Linked DNA regions of Coturnix japonica. The protein of the gene in region 2 interacts with the protein of the main gene of each other region in a biochemical or structural test. Links are inferred from orthologs where the notes say so. Each region holds a gene or a part of one and is shown on either strand. Other genes may lie near its edges.

Region 1 (3,916 bases), on a different chromosome or scaffold from region 2:
GCTAAAAAGCAAATCATTTGAAGCACATCCTGTTGCTCTTTTTACACCTGAGTTCAATCCTGGTGCAGAGCTAAGCTGGAAACCTGCAGGAAGCTCCATCCTGAGCTCCACATGTCAGAGGGTTGGGGTTGCAGCAGACAGCAGGACTGCTGTGCCTCTTGGCTCTTCCCTTATTATGAACATCCAGGCTTAGTATCAGCATTGCAGCTGTACACAGGGTCACTTATTTTGGCACCCTCTGTTCAAGGAGTTCCCTGCTGAGGCTGGTTTTGGTCTGTGCCCCATTTAGTTGATGTGATAAGTTGCTTTGTTGTAGTGGTTCAAGTTGCAGTTATGAAAACAACCTGCAGCAATTCTATTGAAGTCTAGGTGTACCAGGGGCACTGTCCTGTCCTTTGATCTGTGAGATACTTTTCCTTTACAATGTCCTCTATTAATATTTCCCGCTAAGTAGGAATTTACCCTTCTCCCTCCACTTCTGCAGTGTTGTCAGCCCTATTGATGGCAAATCAATGGAGTCTATAACAAGTGTGAAGATATTTCATGGCTCAGAGTACAAGGCAAATGGAAAGGTCATCCGATGGACAGAGGTAAGTGAGGCAAATGGAGCATTTGGGGCCTGCAACTCCAGCAGTCTTTCTTCATCCTGCACTCCCTCCATTACCAAAATTAGGGAGCAGCAGGAACCAAATCTATTCTTCCTACAGCTTGCTGTGCTACTCTTCTATTCCCAGATCTACCTGCAGGGTTAGTGACAGCAATACACATTTCTTCCTCAGGGTGAAAGTGTGGATTTTCTGCACTGAGCACCTGTTTAAAAGCAAACAGCGTACAATAGGTGGTGCCTTTCTGGAAAGAAGCTTTAGATGGAACCAGAAGGCTTTGGAAAACCTCTGTATAGTTATCTGTTGTTTGAGGGGTAGTTTGACCCTAGGGTCTTTTACTGATGTTCCTCAAGAAGCTTTTCTTGAGGCCTTCTTTCAAAAAAAGCTTTGAATGGCGTTTAATTAACTTCATGTTCTGTATCTTAATTCTTCAGGTGTTTTTCCTGGAGAACGATGAGCAGCACAGCGGGCTGAGTGACCCAGCTGATCACAGCCGACTGACTGAAAACGTGGCAAAAGCCTTTTGTTTGGCTCTCTGTCCTCATCTGAAGTTGTTGAAAGAAGACGGCATGACTAAGCTTGGTCTGCGCGTTACTCTCGACTCAGATCAAGTAAGTCTTGAACAGTTCCAGCTTAATGGCTGGTGCTGGTTGGTTGCTTCCCCAAGCCCTAAAGAATATAATGAATACACTGCCTCAAACCATTTGGTTGGCTGAAGTACCACCAGTACTGGGATGCTTGTCTGGTACTGCTGTTAGGTGATGTTTGGGGCAGTCTGTTGCCATGGGAGAGCCAGTGCATGAACCATCATTAACAGTGAGCCTGTAGCAGCTCCTGCTCTGTAGTCAAACCTGGAGCAGCCCTTGGAGGTGTGGGCCAGAGAGACCTGCTGAGAGATGCTGTAAGCTGGGCCTTTCCACCAGGAGCTGAAGAAGGGAGTAGAATAAATGTGTTGTGGTGTGAGCATAAAATATTGTTTACAAGTATGGCTGTTCTTAAAAGATCACTTTGCTTATGAGGCAGAGAAACAGATGGGAGCTTCCCTTGAGAGAGCTCTGCAGCAAACACTACAAGCAGAGAGAAGGGGCTTTTGGCACACCAGCTGGCCTTGCCTTGAGTGAAGTGTGCTTAGCATCATCCAGGTCTTAAACACTGCATGGCTTAATCTGATAGTGCAGGGTATGGTTCCTGCTGCTCTGGAAGCTCTGATTTGGTAGAACAGTGGGGGATAAGAAAAAGCTGCTTTTTCCCCCAGGCAGTCAGTGGGAACAGAGAAGACCAGGGTTAGGGTTGGGGTACATGGGCCCGACTTCCCCCCAGCTGAGATGGGGGCATCACACACAGCTCATCCTCCTGCACAGCACTGCCCTCACTACCCCCAGCCTGCTCTCCCCTTCTGTGTAAAACCCACTGTTGTTGCTTTGTATTTTTTAGGTTGGTTATCAAGCTGGGAGTAATGGACAGCCACTGCCTTCTCAGTACATGAATGACCTGGACAGTGCCTTAGTTCCAGTGATTCATGGAGGGGCGTGTCAGTTGAGTGAGGGGCCAGTCATAATGGAGCTCATCTTTTATATTCTGGAAAACATCTCATAAGAGGACTTCATTTTCTGTTCAGACCTGTTCCAGCAGCAGTTGTATCTGAATCATTTGCACTTTAAAACTGGAGAAATTAAGCTTTTGGTAACACTATTAAGGGGAGGTGGGGGGTGGCGGGAGGGACAGTTGTTCCATAATTCTAAATCTTCTATGCATTGTCAACAACCAGAGGATCAGGGCAGCTTCTATACTACAACATGGCTATGCTATCCTTGCAGCTAATAACTTCTGTTACTGTTTAGAAAAATGCTCGTGTTTCCAGACTTAGAGTACACGACTGTAAATGCTCAAACGAGTGCAAAGATCACTGGGGCGTAAATAAAATGTGAAACTCCCATCTTGTACTGTTTGTAGATGGACAAGTAAGAAACAACAATCAAAACCTCCATTCTGACCTCATCATAATGCCGTCTGTGGTTATTCTGTAGACATTAAAAAATAACGTTTACATTATTTTGACCAGATTATTGGTTGAAATGTGTCTGGAGCAGCCCTTGGAGATGTGGAACGATTACCCAGCCATAACTATGTTTGTATGTGAGAAGGGCAGGTGTCTCAGAACGCAGTATTACATACGCTGCAGTTGTGTGTGACATAGGCTAGTTTACTTTTCTCCCCCGCTCTATTTACTGTAAAGAAAACAACGACAAACTCGTCACCTCAGCCGATTTCTGTAACCTTCTACAACACCTCTGTTATCTCTGCTTTGTTTACAAACCTGTTTGAATTTCAGATACCTGTCCCAAGCAGAGGAATTGTCCTAAAGTGCAGTTATTACCCCTTACCCCAGTAGGTCCTGCTTTTTAAAGAAACACCCAGGGCAGCTTTAAGTCTCCTCCCTGCTGTACGCTGTAGTGTAACGCTAGTGTCATGTAATACAAGACAGCTCGCACTTCTTAGCAGCACCATGTAAAAGCTTACCTGTGATAAAAGCATAGAGTGTCTGTTTCTGCATGTTCTGCTGAAAAAGGCTCACTGGTCAGCTCTGAAACCCTGCACGTGGCCCAGAGCTCGTGGTCTCACCTGGGAGGGTGCTGGGGAGGCAGCTGCTCCCAGCTGGCACCGCAGTGTGGAGCTGGAACTGACACAGCTACAAGAACTGTGATTCCATAGTCTGCCCAAATGGAATCGTTCCAGTGGGAAGCTGCTGAGGAGCAGGGGCTGCCTGGTGGGCCAGGGAAAGCAGCTCCGAACCCCTCCCAGGAAGGGGGTGAACATTTTCCCCCTGCTGTCTATACAGAAGATTAGTGGGGAAAGGGAAACTACTTACACTGCAGACAGTATCTCAGACCTTGCATTGTCCCCTACTTGCAATCAGTTCTGCTGGATGCAGTGGGGATCATTTTGTTCCTGCAGTGTATGAGCGATGCAGGCATCCTTCCAAGTAGAAGAAATCCAAGGCTACCGTGAGACCAACGCTATGTTTTTTAAACAAATATACAGCATTAGCTGGGCAAAGGAAAAGGTAACTGTACACAGTGATGTATCTCATGTAAAGCCAGCACCATATATGTACAGAGTGCATTTGTGAATAAATGGCTACTGCTTTGTAAAAACGCTTTACAGATCTATAGCAGGTGACAGCTGTGAGCAGCCAGTGTTTCCAGGAAGAAAGGCCACGCTGCTGGGGTCCCAGTGCAGAGAGAAAAGCTGGCCAGCAAGAGCTGCGTGTTAGCAACACTTACCCATGAGGTATCACCCAGTACAGCCGT
Region 2 (5,808 bases):
CCAATTCCAACCTCTCTATGTGGCAACAAATTTGGCATTGATTTAACAAAGGAGATTAAATTCACTGACATTTTCTTGGTTCTATTTCAGCTTTCAGATAGAATTACAGGAAACACATGTAGCATCCTGCATTAGACATGCAGATAAAATGTGTACATCACATGTTTGAGTTTAAAGGCAGTCATTCCTCTTGAGTCAGGATTGGAATTATCAGCTTACTTCGGCACTGGGGTGCTGAAATGTAATTGCCTTAAATGCTTATGCATAAATGGCAGCTTGGCTAAGTTTTATCTTTCTGGAAACTTCCTGAAGTAGCAGCAAACTGGGAGAACTACAGGCTAGCCAGCCTCACTTCTGTGCCTGGGAAGATCATGGAGCAGATCCTCCTGGAAGACACATGAGGGATGAACAGGTGATCCAAGACAGCCAGCACAGCTTCACCAACAATAAATCATGCCTGGCCTATGTGGTGGCCTTCTATGATGGAATAATGGCATTGGTGGACAAACAGAAGAAAACTGATGTTTTCTACCTGGACTTGTGCAAGGCCTTTGACATAGTCCTGCATCACATCCTGATCTCTTAACTGGAGAGATACTGTTTTGAAGGCTGGACTATTCAGTGGATTAGGAATTGGTTTGATGGTGGCAGCCAGAGGGCTGTGGTCAGTGATTCTGTGTCCAGGTAGAAGTGGTGATGAGTGGTGTTCCCTAGGGCGCTGTCTTAGGACTGTTGGCTAACAGGATCCTGAGCTGTATGAGAAGATGGGAGGCAGAAGAGTGAGGGAGACGGCTGTCCTTCTCTGCATTTGTGAGGCCTCATCTGGTGTACTGTGTTCAGGTTTATAGACTTCAACTCAGGAAAGATATGGAGCTTTTGGAAAGGGCTGCAGAAGAGGGCTGCAAGGATCATGAGAAGGCTGGAACAACCCTCCACAAAGACAGGCTGAGGAGGCAGGGCAGGGCTTTTTCAGTCTAGAAGGCTCCAGGGTGACTCATTATGGCTTTCCACTTCTTAAAGGGAGATTATGATCAGGAGGGAAATCAACTTTTTATATAGGTGGACAGTGATAGGACAAGGGGCAATGGTTTTAAATTGAAGGAGGGCGGATTTAGATTAGGTGTTGGGGAAGTTTTACACAGAGAGGGTGGTGAGGCACTGGCACAGGCTGCCCAAAGAAGTTGTGCATGCCAGCTTCTTTGGAGGAAGAAGAATTCTTTATTAATTCAATACTGAATACTAACAGCAAAACTGTATGTACATGGTAGTAACAAATACACGAACCAGAGCCCAATCAATTATGAGCTACAGATCAAGCAATTTTAAGTCAGTGTTTCATCTTCAGGTGTTCCACTGGAATTAATAAAGGAAATCAACAAGATTTAATTTACTGCTACATCTTTCAGTTCATCTGATCACTTAGGAAGATGAAGTTACCATCTTTACTCCACTGCTGCAACGATAAGCGTACTGTTCATGTTGGGAGGTAAGAAAATACCTGGTATGTAATTGCTTTGTGGTTCAATTCCAGCTGGGAAATTAGTGTTCTCAGGAATGGAATGGGTGTAGTCATCAAGAGGAGGAAGCTCTGTTAGGATCTCAGTGTGCCGTGGCACTAGTACAGGAGGCAAGACTGGAAAAGAAAAAGTCAAAATATTAATAGGACCCTCCAAACTCACACTTCTATGAAGTGAAACGAAAAACAAATCTAAGCCTTCTAACAATTTCTTCAGGTGTGTCTGCTAGTTACTAGGACAAGCAGATTCTTCTTGAACATGACTAGTTCACATTAGGGAACCATTCTCAGTTTCTCTTCTCGTTTTCACGTTGTACCATCCTTTGCCAGTTGGAAATTGCTAGCACTACTGGAAGCATTTATTGGGGCGTTCAACACATTGATAAAGATTTTTCAGTTTATTTCCTATTAAAAACTTTCAGCAGATGGTATTCTCCAAACTTGTATCCTTAACCATCTTGCAGTTCTGGCATGAGAACATCCCATCCTTCTATATTTTTCATTTGAAACAATATGCTGAACAAGTACACAGAATCACAGAATCATTAAGGTTGGAAAAGACCACTGAAGGTCATCTAGTTCAACCATCAACCCACTCCCAGCATGCCCACTCACAGAATCATGAAGGCTGGAAAAGATCTCTAAGATCAGCCAGTCCAACCCCAGCTCACCCATATACTAAACCATGTCCCCTTCGTAATACACAAGGACAGTGCTATAAAGCCAGAAGCAGACTTCCTACCTGGTGTCTCCACTCTCTGGTAGTGGTATGGGTTTACACATACTTCATCCTTTTTAAGATTAAAAGCGTATTCACAGTTTTCAATTGCTTTAAGTTCATGGTGGCTGTGAAGATCCGGCCAGCGCCACAGACGACAGTAGATGACATGTGGTAATCCTTTACGATGCGATACCTGCAGTCGGCCATCGAGAGATCTACATGGGAAAGATGTTGAGAGGTATTTACAGGCTGCCCGCTGTCTCATCATCACTCAGTCAACAGCGTACACACACAGGAAGGGCAGTTGTGCTCACTTTCAGAATTCAGAGATTTGACACTGCTAGTGACATGTGTACTCTTGTTAAAATGCATCAAATGGGAGAAAAATTATGGCATCAAACAGCGTTAACTTATTTCTGAGCTGCTCAAATTATTGCCAGTGAATTTAGGGGTCATTAAAAGCCACTTTACCTCCAGCCAAGTATTTGGGATCATCATTTCATATACATTTTTTAAATGCAGAAGACAGTTGTTGAAAGAAAATCACACACTTAACAGTCCCTTCAAGTTTCTAAACCTCAAGGCTCTGCCATGGCATGGATGCTTTACGGCTTTAAGTTTAATAATTCCCTGGGGACTGCAAATCAGCCTCTAAACAGTCAACTGCCCAAGGGATCCACATGGTGTGACTGCGATGCAACAAGTATGAACACACATCTCACAGGGGCTGTACATTTTATCTTCTTGCCTTCCTCTGCCTTGCTACCAGCTGAAAACGTTTTGCTAGTTTTAAGACAGACTGCATATGCTTACACAAATGCAGATGTTTATGACTGTTATGGGATGGGAGACAAACCTCAGTACACAAATCAAGCAATGTGGTATGAAAAAATAAAGACCCTGCTCAGAATTTGCCCCCTGTTAACTACAGAAGAATTTACAAGCAGTTCTTTAGCAGCTCGTATCAGAGCCAATTAGTGAGATTTAACTGAAAGCTCATGGCATACAAAGCAGTTTAAACACTTTGTAAGATTAGGTCTAAAGAATTAAGTAGCCGAGCGTTGTTAATAGAAATACCAAATCCCATCAGAGCTTGCATTAACAAGTCTTCCCATTCTTTCAACTGGCGTGAAAAATGAGTATTCCGCAATTAGGATTTCATTGGTCAAAACATCAGCTGAGAATACTTGGTTTGCTACACTGGCAAGCAAATGTCTTGAGGCCTAAGAAGCATTCAGTCTATTTTACAGCTATAGCATCCCATGACAGACCCTCCAAAGCCAATCCCTCCCACAAGGTTCTATGATGGAGAGAGGGCAGAATATTCACCTGGTTTGTTCAGAGAAGCTGTAAAGGCCTGTTGTGTCCCACTGATCTATCGTGTTTGGTGTACTCAGTCCCCAAATTTCAGAGCAAGTGCTGTGCATAAATTGAAAACAAAAACAAAAAATTGGTATGAATATGGAACGTGGTTATTCAAAACACCATGATGTCAAACATGGAGAAATGTACAGAGTACTTCCTTCCACATAGAAGATAGAGCACTGGTAGGCTTGCACTTGGATGGACGTCGCATGCTATATTTTCTATATGAAGGAGGCTATCAAAATGGAACGCGTGACTCAAGGTAAATGATCATGTTTTTAAGGGGTGAACAAATTCTGACTTTAAGTAGTTGATACAGCTGCAATGCACCTTAAAACAGGCAAAACATCCTCAGCCTCGCTCCTACCAAAATTCTCTTTTCAAGGGTCATTTCTGGGTTGGTTTCTTTTTTGCTTTTGTTTGTTTTTCAATATAAGCTGCCCTACAATTACAATCATGGGCCATGTGCATCTGGAACTGAACCATCACAGCCTGGCTCCAAGGTACCACCATTCAGCCACCGCATTCTCCATGTACACTCTTATTTACTGCTTTTCTCAATACAGGAAAGCTTGGGCTCTGAAGAAAAGCATATTGCAGTGATGCTTCTCACTAATTTCTCCGCTCTCCTTGATTAAATCACTGGTGTTATTTTTGTTATTTTCTACTGCATACAAGACGTACGCTTTACACAGACTTACAGTGTAGCCCCAGCTACAGAACAACAAAATATTAATTGTGAAATCAAACAGGAGGAAATGAGAGAGAACTTTTGGAAACTGGTTCAGTGACAAGCACAGAAGTTCAAAAAAAGGAACCTCCAGTAACACAAGCACAAGTTGAAAGAGAAGCAGATTGAGGCAAAGCAAAGAACAGCACACGTGTATAAATGGGCAGCATGTTCTCAGAAGTATGGGCCCATCTCAGGTCCACCACAGATGTGATCTGTGACCACTGAGAAAGGACAATTTATTTTACATGAGTAACACACAGTGAGACTCAGAAATGGAGAAAACTTGGGCGACGAGCCACTCACAAAGCCAGAAATGTGGCTGCTATTTCAGCTTTGAAGTTAACAATCTCTGAAAAGTACCAGACAGGACATAAAGTTCACCCAAGCCCTGATTTAGAAAAGAGATTTACATTTAAGTTACCAACCCCAGCTGACACACTGCTCTTAACAGCATTTCTAGCACAGACAACCACAATTCCATGGACACTCTATTAAAACTTAATTTTTTTCCCTTTCTCCATAGAGAAAGGGAAGGAATGGGTCTGGTCCCCTTCCTGCCTGTCTCACACACCTCAATTAAATACCATCCCAGGGAGGGTGAAATGCTCTAAGACAATTCATAGCTCTCCAGAACCCCAGGGGGCAGAAGGATAGTGACCATCACTGCTTCAGCAGTGCCTGCCACCTCTGCTACTCCTAAGGTGCCTCTACCAGCATGGTGGGTTGCCAGCAGACATGCAAAGACTGGACATGCAAAGACTGGAATTGTTGCCCTGAAGACACACAGTCAGCCTGTGGGACACCAGGGAACATACAGAAGTGCTACAGCCTTAGAGTATGCCAAATAGGTACAGTATTTTATATTATTAACCTCTTCTCTGTAATTATTTGAACTTTCAAAGTTGATACCACAGTTCAAAACCTAACAGTAATCTGAAATGACTCCGAAGTATGACGGAGGTGTAAATTAGGACCCAGGACACCACAGAGAAGGAAGGTGGTGAAGAAGCACATGGGAGTGTTGGAAAAGGAGCTGCAGAAAAACTGATGAGCTAGGATTTGTGCCCCCCTTCAAAACAGGAGGTATCCTCTCCTAAGAGTTACTTTTCTAATGTGTCTTCAACCTCTTAAGAGATGCAGGTTTGCTTTAGTCCATACAGATTCTGGAAGAATAAAGGACTAACATACATACTTCTAAGGTAAATCATGCCTGGAAACATACCCAAGCCTTGGACCAAGATTCTGTATTCTAGGAAGCAGATAGGATGTTCCCCATCATGATGCCAGTTATGACCTCCTACACCATCACCAGCTTGTTGAGCTGCCACCCACTGGGACCACATGCACTGGGAACTCTGCTTCAGCCACCCTCTCCTGCAAGTAAGAGTTCAAAAGCACAGACACACTGGATGCAGACAGCCCTGAAGTCAGCTGGCCACAATGCTGGGGACATTCCAAGGCATGATATATATG
Region 3 (5,128 bases), about 13 Mb from region 2:
CCAGTGACTGCACAACTTCTCTGGGCAAACTATTCCATCATCCTCTGATAAAAGGATTTATTTATCCATGCTGAATGCTCAGCAAACTCTTCTGGCTACCTCAGCTGCTTTTCCTTCATCCATCCTCAAAAAAAAAAAAAAAAAAAAAAATCTTATTCTCTTACATACAACAGCCAGAAGAGTTTTGTTTTGTTTTTTTTTTTTTATCCTGGAAAGTTCTGGACTGGGGACATCATATGGAGAAAATACAATTACCTCTCATACCTCTCAGGCTTAAAAATTTAGTTCCTCCCCTCCCCATCCCCCAAAGGAAATGGTTATCCAGACTGAAATTATCTTCCAAAGAAAAAATATAAACCTTAGTATCTTAGTTAACAAAAACAGTGATCAGATGTTTCTTGTGAGAGGAAAGAATAATAAAAGAGTAAGGTAATTATGGAAAAAGAGCTGCAATAAGTTTATTCTTAAAACTTAGGAAGAGAGCACAGCTTCTCTGAGAAATTAAAACAAGTGATACTGCTGCCAAAAACAGCAGCAATAATAAAAAAAATGTGGGAAGAAGTATGGAACATTTCCAAGGAAAACACCATTTTCTGCAATTCTCTACTGAGAGAGTACTCAAGCTAACAATCCTCAAAACCACAAAACATTCTTTTTCCCCTTTGACAAAAATTAACAAAATGGGAATGTCAGCACAGCTTTCTCAGTCATACTCGAGATATAACAGGAGTCTTTCCTATATTCATAAACTCAAAAGGGTATACCAAGCTGGAAGAGACCCACAAAGATCACAGAGTCCAACTCCTGGCTCTACAAAGGAACACCCAAAATTCAAATCCTATGTCTGAGAGCACTGTCCAAATCCTTCTTAAACTCTGGCAGCTGAATTGGGATCCTGTTTCAATGCCCAGCCGTTCCATGGATGAATTTCTTCCTAATCCCCAGCCTGACCCTCCCCTGCCACAGCTCCAGGTCTTTCCATCAGGTCCTGTTGCTATAACTGCAAAGAAGAGATGGGCACCTGCTCCTCTGCTCTTCTCATGAAGAAGCTGCAAGCCACCATGAGGCCTCTCCCCTCTTTGGGCTGAACCTCATAAATCTTAACTTCTAGACCCTTCCCCATCTTTGAAGCCCTCTTTTGGATGCGATAATAGTTTTGTACCCTTCTAGTACTGTGGGTACAAAACTGCACACAGTGCGTGAGGAAAGGCTGCACAGCACAGAGCAAAGCAGGACAATCCCTTCCCGTCCCGCAGTGGAAATGCTGGTTCTGGTGCACCATAGGGTACAGTTGGCCCTTTGGGCTGTTTGGGCATTCTCCTGGCCCAGATTCAACATTTCCATGGGGCAGCTCTCCATCTTCTTGTTCCCCAGTCCATATGTTAATATATTTGAAAGTAACCATTGTTTTTATCCCCTGCAATACTTACCAGCTTCAACTGTGAGCTCTGGCCACAAGAATTTTCTCCCTACAGTGTCAAACAGTATCTAAGTAGTCCTCCCACACTGCCTCACACCTTACTTCTAGTGGCAATACACTTTCTGCCTAGGTTCAAAAACAGAATCCCTGCTAAGCTAAGCCAGCCTTCTGCCCTGTTTGTCTGTTTTCCAGCATTTGGAATTGCCTGTTCCTGTGATCTTAGGATGTAGCGCTTAAAAACTGACCTGCACTGACAGACCACACTGTTGTCAAAAGCAATCCTCCAAAGGACTTCACCGACTAGTTCTCTGAGCAGTCTGCTCTCCCCACATCCAGGGTTGAAGTTTTGGTGGTAGTTCTCCACCTTTCACTCAACTACTTCATGGTCACTATGGGCAAGATGGCTTCCAATCAAAACTTCTTTCTCAAGACTCTCTCTGATTTCAACAAATTAATTGCTCAACTAGAGAACTGGCCATCTTTCCTTTAACAGACACATGTAATCACCTTTCACAGCATTTAAATGGGAAAATTAGACATTTTGAGTCATGGAATTATTAGAATCACACAGTACTCCTTTTTATAATATCTAACCTTTTTTATTGTTGCTAAGAGCTACCACTTTTGGTTGGTTGATGGAAGTTTCTATCAGTGGTGGTCGCATTTCTGCCATTTTCATCTCTTCATCAGAGGAGAGTTCTTCTGACTCCTGCAAAAGGAAAAACAGTTTTATATAGAGAGCATTTTAAATACGTGGCTAAAGGTTAGGTAAAACTGATCTAAATCATCATCCTATCTAATAAACAGTAAAGATAAACAAATAACACAGACCTAACATAGCAACTATGTAGCAAATCAAATGAATTTAACTTTTTCGATTCAATTATATTTAAGATGCATAACACACACATTTGTTTTGTGTGTGATGATCTCAGAGGGAATGATAGCAAAAATTGGTATCTTCAGCTTAGGTTTTCATTTTGAAATTCACACACTAGGGTAAACTTTCAAATGGAAGAGAAGATATTTAACTTCAAGAATAAATGACGCTGAATAGATCTAGGCTAGAATTCTTCAGATCCTAACCATCAGATCTCAGTGCACTTCTGAAAGAGACAAACTGACAAAGCTGCCTGCAAGAGCAGCCACACAAGAGATTCAGAATTCTATTGCCTGGCCCACATACTCCTACCATCTTCAAGAATACAATTTTCTTTCATTAATATTCTCTGTAATGAAAAAAAAAATCTTTCTTTTCTTCCTTTAAGTGAAAATTCTGTTACAAAATACAGTACCACCAATTCAATGACACTAACTACCTTGTTCTTTGGACTACAGTAAAGGACAGTAAAACTGAGAAGTAGCAAACACTTTGTGACCAACTTTATAACAACCCTGTTCCTCTGTAATAAGAACAGATAATCTCTTTGCTACCTCTGCCATATTGCCCTTCCCCTTAGGTGTGATATATAACAAGAGTAATTAACATTGAAAGGAAAAGCTTTTATGCATATAAAGTTATGTGGATGGAGACAAAGTTACTAGCAAGTTACTATGAGGAAGTAAGGAATTTGCTATCCACGGCTGACTACAAACAACTGCCTGATTTCCTTACTGGCTTACAGCCAGGTTTAAAAGAATGACTGCCACTGCCAGACAACTGGTAGTTTTCTTTTTTTAAGTAATGTTTTTAAACTGCAGAAAACTGTTAGAACCAGTATTTTATGAAAGCATGTAATAGCAGGAACACGCCAGGGGGAAAAGACCCAGCAACAGCCACAACGGCTGGCCATTAAGTCTCATTATCGCATGATAAATGCATGCTCCACTGCTTGCACAACGCACACACAAAATTATCAGTTTGTGAAACTACTGCAAAAACTCCAAAAAACATTTCACATGCTGTGATTGGCAAGTGATTAACTGACAAGTTCCAAAATGATACTAATGCTGAAACATGCTCTAAATTAAAAAATATATGCATGTTTGTCACAGATGTACAAAGAGTTCAGAAAGTACGAGTATCTGATTTCTGTAACACAAGTCATATTTAAGATATCTTACTACTAAATACATACAAAAACATATTTTTAAGCCCACTTGTTATTTTAAATGAACAGGCAATTCACTTGTATATTCAAGATTTTGCTTGCTCCTACTGACAAGATACTTTGGCATTTCAGAGACAATCACAATCAATCATTTCCTGAGGTGCTGAAAATCAAGTGGAAACTGGAAAATTCCATTTAAGAAAGAATCTTTTCCAGAGCTTAGTACTCAGATCAATTTCTGCGCTTGACTTATTTTTCTCTAAATGCCTACAGTTTCATTATGAACAACTTCTTACATTTTTCAACTTGCACTTATAATACAGCTAAGGTGAGAACAATACTGCATTAGGAAGACATTTACAGTTACAAATCCCTCTGTACTAACAGTACTTGTGGATAGAAATTTTCTGCTTTTGTCAACATGAATTTTCATTTCTCTTATAAACAAGTCTGATGCAACACCAGCACAACTCTTTGACTGCTATAGTGTTCATCACAATGCCTCACCTCAAGCGTGTCTTCATGGTTAACAACTGTTTTTGTGTTCTGCAAGGTTTTAACAAGTGCAGCCATCTGCGAATTTGCAGTGCAGTGCTCAGCTTCTGGTTCAGTAGGCTTCTGCACAGAGCTTCCTGCTGAATACTGCTTTCTCTCATCAGCCTTATTCTTCATTGGAACAATTTCTGAAGTCTACAGGATTAAGAACATTCGTAGAAAAAACATTTGAAAACTTTTTCAGAAACATTCAGAAATAATAGTATGGGAAACTATGGAACAGAAGATGTTTGAAATGATCAAGTATGAAATACACAAGGTAGAGAGAAATCTCTCCAGACCATTCAGTTGTAGCCCTCACTCTTTTCCAATTGGTTTCACTCTCACCCTTACAGGGGTCACTTCATACCATTAAACTTCCAGTTTAATTTAAAAAAGCCAAGTGTATCTACAATGAGACAAGTCAGCATCGAAGACATGCCAAACAGTCCTGCCACATATTACAGTACATCAAGCTGTCAGTGACCTGTACACCAAATTGCTACTATTGCCTTCCCAACTTAACGTGCAAAACCATCAGTTGTGAGGGCAACAGTTATGATTCTTAGAAATGATCCCCACTTTCCTTTTTCAAGTTTGGTGGTCAAATAAGAACTCCTCCAGAAATTTAGGAAATAAGCTCCATTACACATTTGTACTTCTTATTTCCCTGAGAATCAAGCCATTTTCTTTGTTGTCAGTGTTAAGAGGGAAATCTCTACTACAAAGCAGGTAACTATTGCAGACTTCTTCACAGTGAGGGTACAGAACACTGGAATGGACTGCCCACAGGGGCTGCAGGGTTTCCTTCTTCACTGACATTCAAAACCCGCCTGGAGGCGTTCCTGTGTGACCTGGTCTAGGTGTTCCTGCTCCAGCAGGGGGATTAGGTCTACAAGATCTTTCAAGGTCTCTTCCAATCCCTGACATTCTGTGATTCTTAAGGCGACAAAGAGGTAAGCCCTGCTCTTTAATGTGGAGCATTAATGAGGAGAGAGAAGACTAAAAAGAATCAATGGCAATCTAGACATTTGGAAGTTTCAGTGAAGTCAGAAGATAGTATTACACCTAACCTTTACCCCCACATCTTTTACAGAAACTGTCTGGCTTTCTCGTTTTGATT
Region 4 (4,844 bases), on a different chromosome or scaffold from region 2:
CTGGGACTGGGGGCGGGGAGACTGAACGGGCGCCGGGGACCGCACCTGGCTGCTGAGGGAGGTGGCGATCTGCTGGCCGGGGAGATGAGACGCCTGCGGTTGTCCTGAGAGCATGTGCTGCTGGGGGCTCATGGGGTTGGGTTGGCCCGGAGAGCCGATCTGCTGCTTCATCTGCTGCTGCTGCAGGATCCGCTGCTGCAGCGCCTGCTGGATGTTGGGAGCGCCGTCCGCCCCCAGGCCGGGCTGCCCCATCTGGTTCAGCTGTCCTATCTGAGCCATCTGTCCCATGGACCCCCCCTGTATCGATATATGCTGCTGCATCCGCTGCTGCTGCATGGCTTGAGGGTAACCACCCGGTCCTTGGGGCTGCTGGAACTGGTTGTGGCCGGCCATCCCCGCCGCCATGCCAGCCCCTCCTTGCTGCTGCTGCTGCTGTTGCTGCTGCTGCAATAGTTGCCTCCTCAGGAGCTCTCGGTACTGCGGGTTCATGCCTGCCATGCTAGTGTTGTGGCCGGAGTTCATGATGTTGATCGCTTGTCCCTGCGGGTTCATGGCTCCTATCCCTTGCTGCTGGGGAGGAACGCTCGGTCTCTGCACTCCCGCTTGCATCGCGTTCATGTTCTGCAATCCCGGCTGCGCGTGCATGCCCGGCTGTTGCATGCCGGTCTGCGGCTGCTGCATGCCGGGCTGGGGCTGTATGCCCGCCTGCGGCTGCATCCCGGGCTGGTTAGCCACGTATTTGGCCGTTCTTTGCTTTATAAAAGCTGCCATAAGCTGAGGGTTGGACTTAAGGATATTAAGAACCTGCTGCTGCTGCTGCGGAGAGCTCGGTGATTTCAAGGTCCTCAGCAAGTCCTGAAGTGCATTTGGAGGGATGCTCCGCGGCGGCTGCTGCACGCCCGGCATCCTCGGCCCCGCCACTGCTTGCGCCGTCGCCATCGGCATCACCGGCCTCGCCATTCCCGGCTGCATCGCCTGCTGCTGCGGCATTGGGGGCGACTGCCACTGCCCCGGCTGCATGTTGGACATCACCGGGCCGCTGACGGGGTTGGGCCGCGGTACATTCATGCCGACCTGCTGCATCTGGCTCACCGAACCCACCGCCGGGTTTACGAGCCCCGGGCGACCAGGGGGCAAACCATTGTTGATGTTGTTGACCCTGTAGAGCTGCTGCTGCTGCTGGGCGGCCTCTCTCTCGATCTGCCGAGCCGCTTCCACTGCGGCCGGTGGCGGCTGAGCAGGAGGTGGAGGCGCCGCAACCGGGTTTGTGGGTTTTCCTGTCGAAACAGTGGTGGGGGGCTGAGTTCTGGAGACGCTGGGAAAGCCGGCCGGTGACATACTTACAGGGGAAGGCTGGGGCTGGGGAGCAGGCTGCGGTGTCTGCGGCGTACTTGGCTGCTGTGTGGGGGTACCAGGCGTTGCTGAGGTAGGAGAAGGCAAACTTTGCTGAGGCACGTTTCGGGTGTTCATGGTCGCCATCCTTCTGCGCATGAGCTGGGCCTGCTGCAGGCGGTGCTGGATCTGCTGCTGCCGGAGCTTGTGTTTGATGTTGAGACAGAATGGCACGGGGCATTTGTTCTCTTGGCAGTGTTTGGCGTGGTAGCAGCAAAGAGCTATGAGCTGTTTGCACACCGGGCAGCCGCCGTTGGTCTTGCGCTTGCAGCCCTTGGTGTGTTGGACAACCCGCTTCATCTTCTGGCAGGATGGCAGCGAGCAGTTTGCGTTGCGGCACTGACAGGCGTGGACGAGGGACTGAATGCAGCGCTGGATGCTCAGCCGGCGCGACTCCTGGGGGCTCTTTGACTGCTGCTCTCCTTGGCTGTTGCTCTCATCATCCAGGCCCAGGCCCCACTTAACCATCTTGTGGTCATGGCTCTTAGTGTTGTAGCAGTTAATGCAGAGGTCGTAGTCCTGAAAGCAAAGAAAATGCAGAGCTCAGTTGCCTGTGAAGTGCTACCTGCGGCACTAGGAGGGAGGAGAAACATGAACCCGATGTGGAAGCACATCTGGGTTACAGTGGGCACAAACATGGCCCAACAGAAGCAAGACAGTCCCAGGCTCCACTGAGGGCAAGAATGCAATCAGGCACCGCTTCTGTGCCGTCGCTTCCATACATTGCAGGGTTTGGTCTGCTGGGTTTTTTCCTTCCTTTTTGATGATGGTAAATTTTACATCTCTGGAATGGCTACCAGACAAGTTACACAAGGAGAGCCAAAACAGTGCAAACAGCTCTACCCTAAGTGCTAAGAACCAAGGATCTGCTCTCCATTTAACTATCCTTGGTGTAATTACTGACTAACAATTAATTCCTGACCTGCAATGTGTTTTTTAATCTCTAAGACAGCCCTTGAAGCAAGTGCCAGTTTCATGGCAAGACGGACACTTAGCTAAAAACCTCCTCAAACACCCCATTCTCACTGCCCTGAGTGCTTTATTTGACTGCTAGAGGAAGACAATTCCCCTCACACAGAAGCAGCCAGAAGAAACCTAATGGCCACACTTCCTTTCACCACTTAATTCCAGCCTTGCCTCAAGAAGCCCTCTTCAGTGCTCCCCTCGGAGGGATTAATTAAGACTCTTCAACCACAAGCCTGGCAATAACTTCCAGTGTGAGAACGAGGCTGCATTTACTCAACAGTTTTTAGTTCAGCTGCAGCCAGAGGTCACCAACAGCCCCATGGAGGAGACCTGCCCCTCACGTCCACCCGTGTGACTCCACGTGTAATTGCTCTCTAATGCAGTTCAGTAGAAGTGATCTCCACTGCAATAGGGCCAGACATCAGAAGTACAGAGCCAGGTTAGGAAGCAATTATTTGGGTTGATCCAAAGGGCAAGAAACCTCTAAAGCTGGGCTGAATTGGAAGCCCCTTTTCCCAGCTGCACAGCAGCCTGAGCATGTGCCTGGCTGCACTCAATACAAAGCCAAGCACCACATACAACATGGAGCCAACTGCTCCCGTGGTCATCCATTCAACATGGATACGCCAGTCCTGCAGATTCAGGTTACTCTGACAGTGTCAGACCCTGTCAGTCAGCCCTGAAATTCTGTCTTGATAAGCTGAAGCCCGGATGTGCAGAGGAGCTTGATGACAAGGGCAGCAATTCAGCTGTAACCATTCTAGGACACGGCAGCTTCCCATCCAGAAAAACAAAGGCACCTACTCTAGAAGAGATTGATCCACAGTGGCAGTTGCCTTCCCTTAAAGCTTCACATTGCTAACACCAGAACAGGCTTAATTTTGAGGAGACTCGGGTGAGAAGCCATCCCAGGTGACCTACACATACCTCACAGACAGTGCAATGCCACCTGGTCTCCACGTGATGCTTGCACTCATTGCACGTATAAACAAAGCGGTCCTGCCCCTGGGTGTGGAGCTCCACCAGCATGCAGAGCGTGGACCACTTGGATCGGCGCAGCGAGGAGAACTCCCAGTGCTTATCTCTGGCTAAGGTGAGGAAGGCATCCCGGCCATCCATCAGATCGCAGCTCAGCAGCGGGTCGGGGTCCACAATGGGGGGCAGCGTGTTAATGACAGGCCCAGCGTGTAAATGGATCACAAAAAAGACCTGCAGATAAATGGGAAGAGGGGCAATAAATCAACGACGTCAGGTTATCTCACAGGAAAAGCTCATGTTCTGTTGCAGAAACACAACGCTGCAACCATTATCTAATGGACACCATTATAGCAATCTCTCCAATATGTTGTTACACGACTACAAGAAACCTTCAGCGTAACCAAAAGCTTTAGCTCCTCCTGGTTTCCAGTTCTACCACCCCACCTCCATCTACAGGAACCAGCTTCCCCTGCACTCTGCACGTTCTGACGGTACCTCTTTATGCTTCTCCATGGTGGCGTACAGCTTCTGAGACAGGTCGTTGGACACGTTTGGCATGCTGGGTTTCTTCTTGTTCGCTCTGCTGATGCTACTCTTATTCTTGTTGGTTTTTTTGTTGTTCTTTTTCTTGGCGTTTTTGCTGTCACCCTGACTTCCCTGCAAGAAACACACGGGGAAGACGTTCAGCTTTACAGAGCTCTCTCCTGTTCACTGCAGCACAAAGTGAGGTGCAGCTGCTGTCAGTAATGCAGCTTCATTCCAGTGCCTGCAGATGAACCACACTGTGCTAAATACATCCCATCTTCCAGGACAGAAATCAAAAGCCAACCCAGCACGAAACAGATTTCAAATGTGGTTTAAAAATAGCCCAGGTTTTTACTTCTTTTTATGCACAGACATACATTCAGTTGTGTCTTCTCCCCGCGCTTCAGCTCCACTGCCTGTCCTTGCAAGTCTTACACAGAATAAAATGTGTTAAAAATAAAACAGACTTTGACAGACCCTGTGAGTGCAGCCGTTTGCTTTGCTGTGCACTCAGGACTTGACACTCAAGTTCTAATTCATTAATTTCAATTCGACAAACTGAGAGTTAATGCACGGAAAAGGCAGGATGTGAAACCACCAGAACATGTCTCACCCCACCCTGAAGATGTGCTGCTGCATCAGCAACGCCAAAAAAACCCCCAAATACCAAACACTCAATGCCTTCACTTGTGTGTAAGTCACAGCACAGGCCACAGTGAACACAGACTGAATGCTAAATATAAGCAGGGTGAAAAATAGCAGATGGTGCTGTTTGGGTGACCTGGGAAAACAGAGATTGATGTGCCTGAAAAACAAAATAGAAATTAAAGAAAGAAGCCTCCTGTCCCTGTAACAGAGCACTCAGCGCCCAGTGAAAACCCAACCTGCTGCCATGCTGGTCTGTAGGATGTGCAGAACAATCCTCCTGTACACACACACATAGAGGAACGTTTCCTGAACGTTATGTACAGGCCAACAGGTTT

Evidence for each region. The genes of interacting proteins can lie anywhere in the genome.
Region 1: the proteins of SMAD2 (region 2) and ZFYVE9 are reported together in a solved structure, tested with the Homo sapiens proteins (2 studies listed by BioGRID and IntAct, with this or other methods). The link is inferred for Coturnix japonica from reciprocal best matches to the Homo sapiens genes SMAD2 and ZFYVE9.
Region 3: the proteins of SMAD2 (region 2) and ERBIN form a complex in vitro, tested with the Homo sapiens proteins (2 studies listed by BioGRID). The link is inferred for Coturnix japonica from reciprocal best matches to the Homo sapiens genes SMAD2 and ERBIN.
Region 4: the proteins of SMAD2 (region 2) and CREBBP form a complex in vitro, tested with the Homo sapiens proteins (2 studies listed by BioGRID). The link is inferred for Coturnix japonica from reciprocal best matches to the Homo sapiens genes SMAD2 and CREBBP.

The regions. Positions count from the first base shown.
Region 1 is NC_029523.1:21,732,118-21,736,033, forward strand, and holds part of ZFYVE9 (zinc finger FYVE domain-containing protein 9), read left to right. Parts: intron 1-484; coding exon 485-590; intron 591-1,039; coding exon 1,040-1,216; intron 1,217-2,039; coding exon 2,040-2,201; 3' UTR 2,202-3,916. UniProt on the Homo sapiens protein: Early endosomal protein that functions to recruit SMAD2/SMAD3 to intracellular membranes and to the TGF-beta receptor.
Region 2 is NC_029547.1:1,337,015-1,342,822, reverse strand, and holds part of SMAD2 (mothers against decapentaplegic homolog 2), read right to left. Parts: intron 3,657-5,808; coding exon 3,567-3,656; intron 2,453-3,566; coding exon 2,259-2,452; intron 1,634-2,258; coding exon 1,499-1,633; intron 1-1,498. UniProt on the Homo sapiens protein: Receptor-regulated SMAD (R-SMAD) that is an intracellular signal transducer and transcriptional modulator activated by TGF-beta (transforming growth factor) and activin type 1 receptor kinases.
Region 3 is NC_029547.1:14,167,211-14,172,338, forward strand, and holds part of ERBIN (erbin), read right to left. Parts: coding exon 5,079-5,128; intron 4,162-5,078; coding exon 3,979-4,161; intron 2,130-3,978; coding exon 2,015-2,129; intron 1-2,014. UniProt on the Homo sapiens protein: Acts as an adapter for the receptor ERBB2, in epithelia. By binding the unphosphorylated 'Tyr-1248' of receptor ERBB2, it may contribute to stabilize this unphosphorylated state.
Region 4 is NC_029529.1:11,011,113-11,015,956, forward strand, and holds part of CREBBP (CREB-binding protein), read right to left. Parts: intron 3,994-4,844; coding exon 3,832-3,993; intron 3,568-3,831; coding exon 3,286-3,567; intron 1,912-3,285; coding exon 1-1,911. UniProt on the Homo sapiens protein: Acetylates histones, giving a specific tag for transcriptional activation. Mediates acetylation of histone H3 at 'Lys-18' and 'Lys-27' (H3K18ac and H3K27ac, respectively).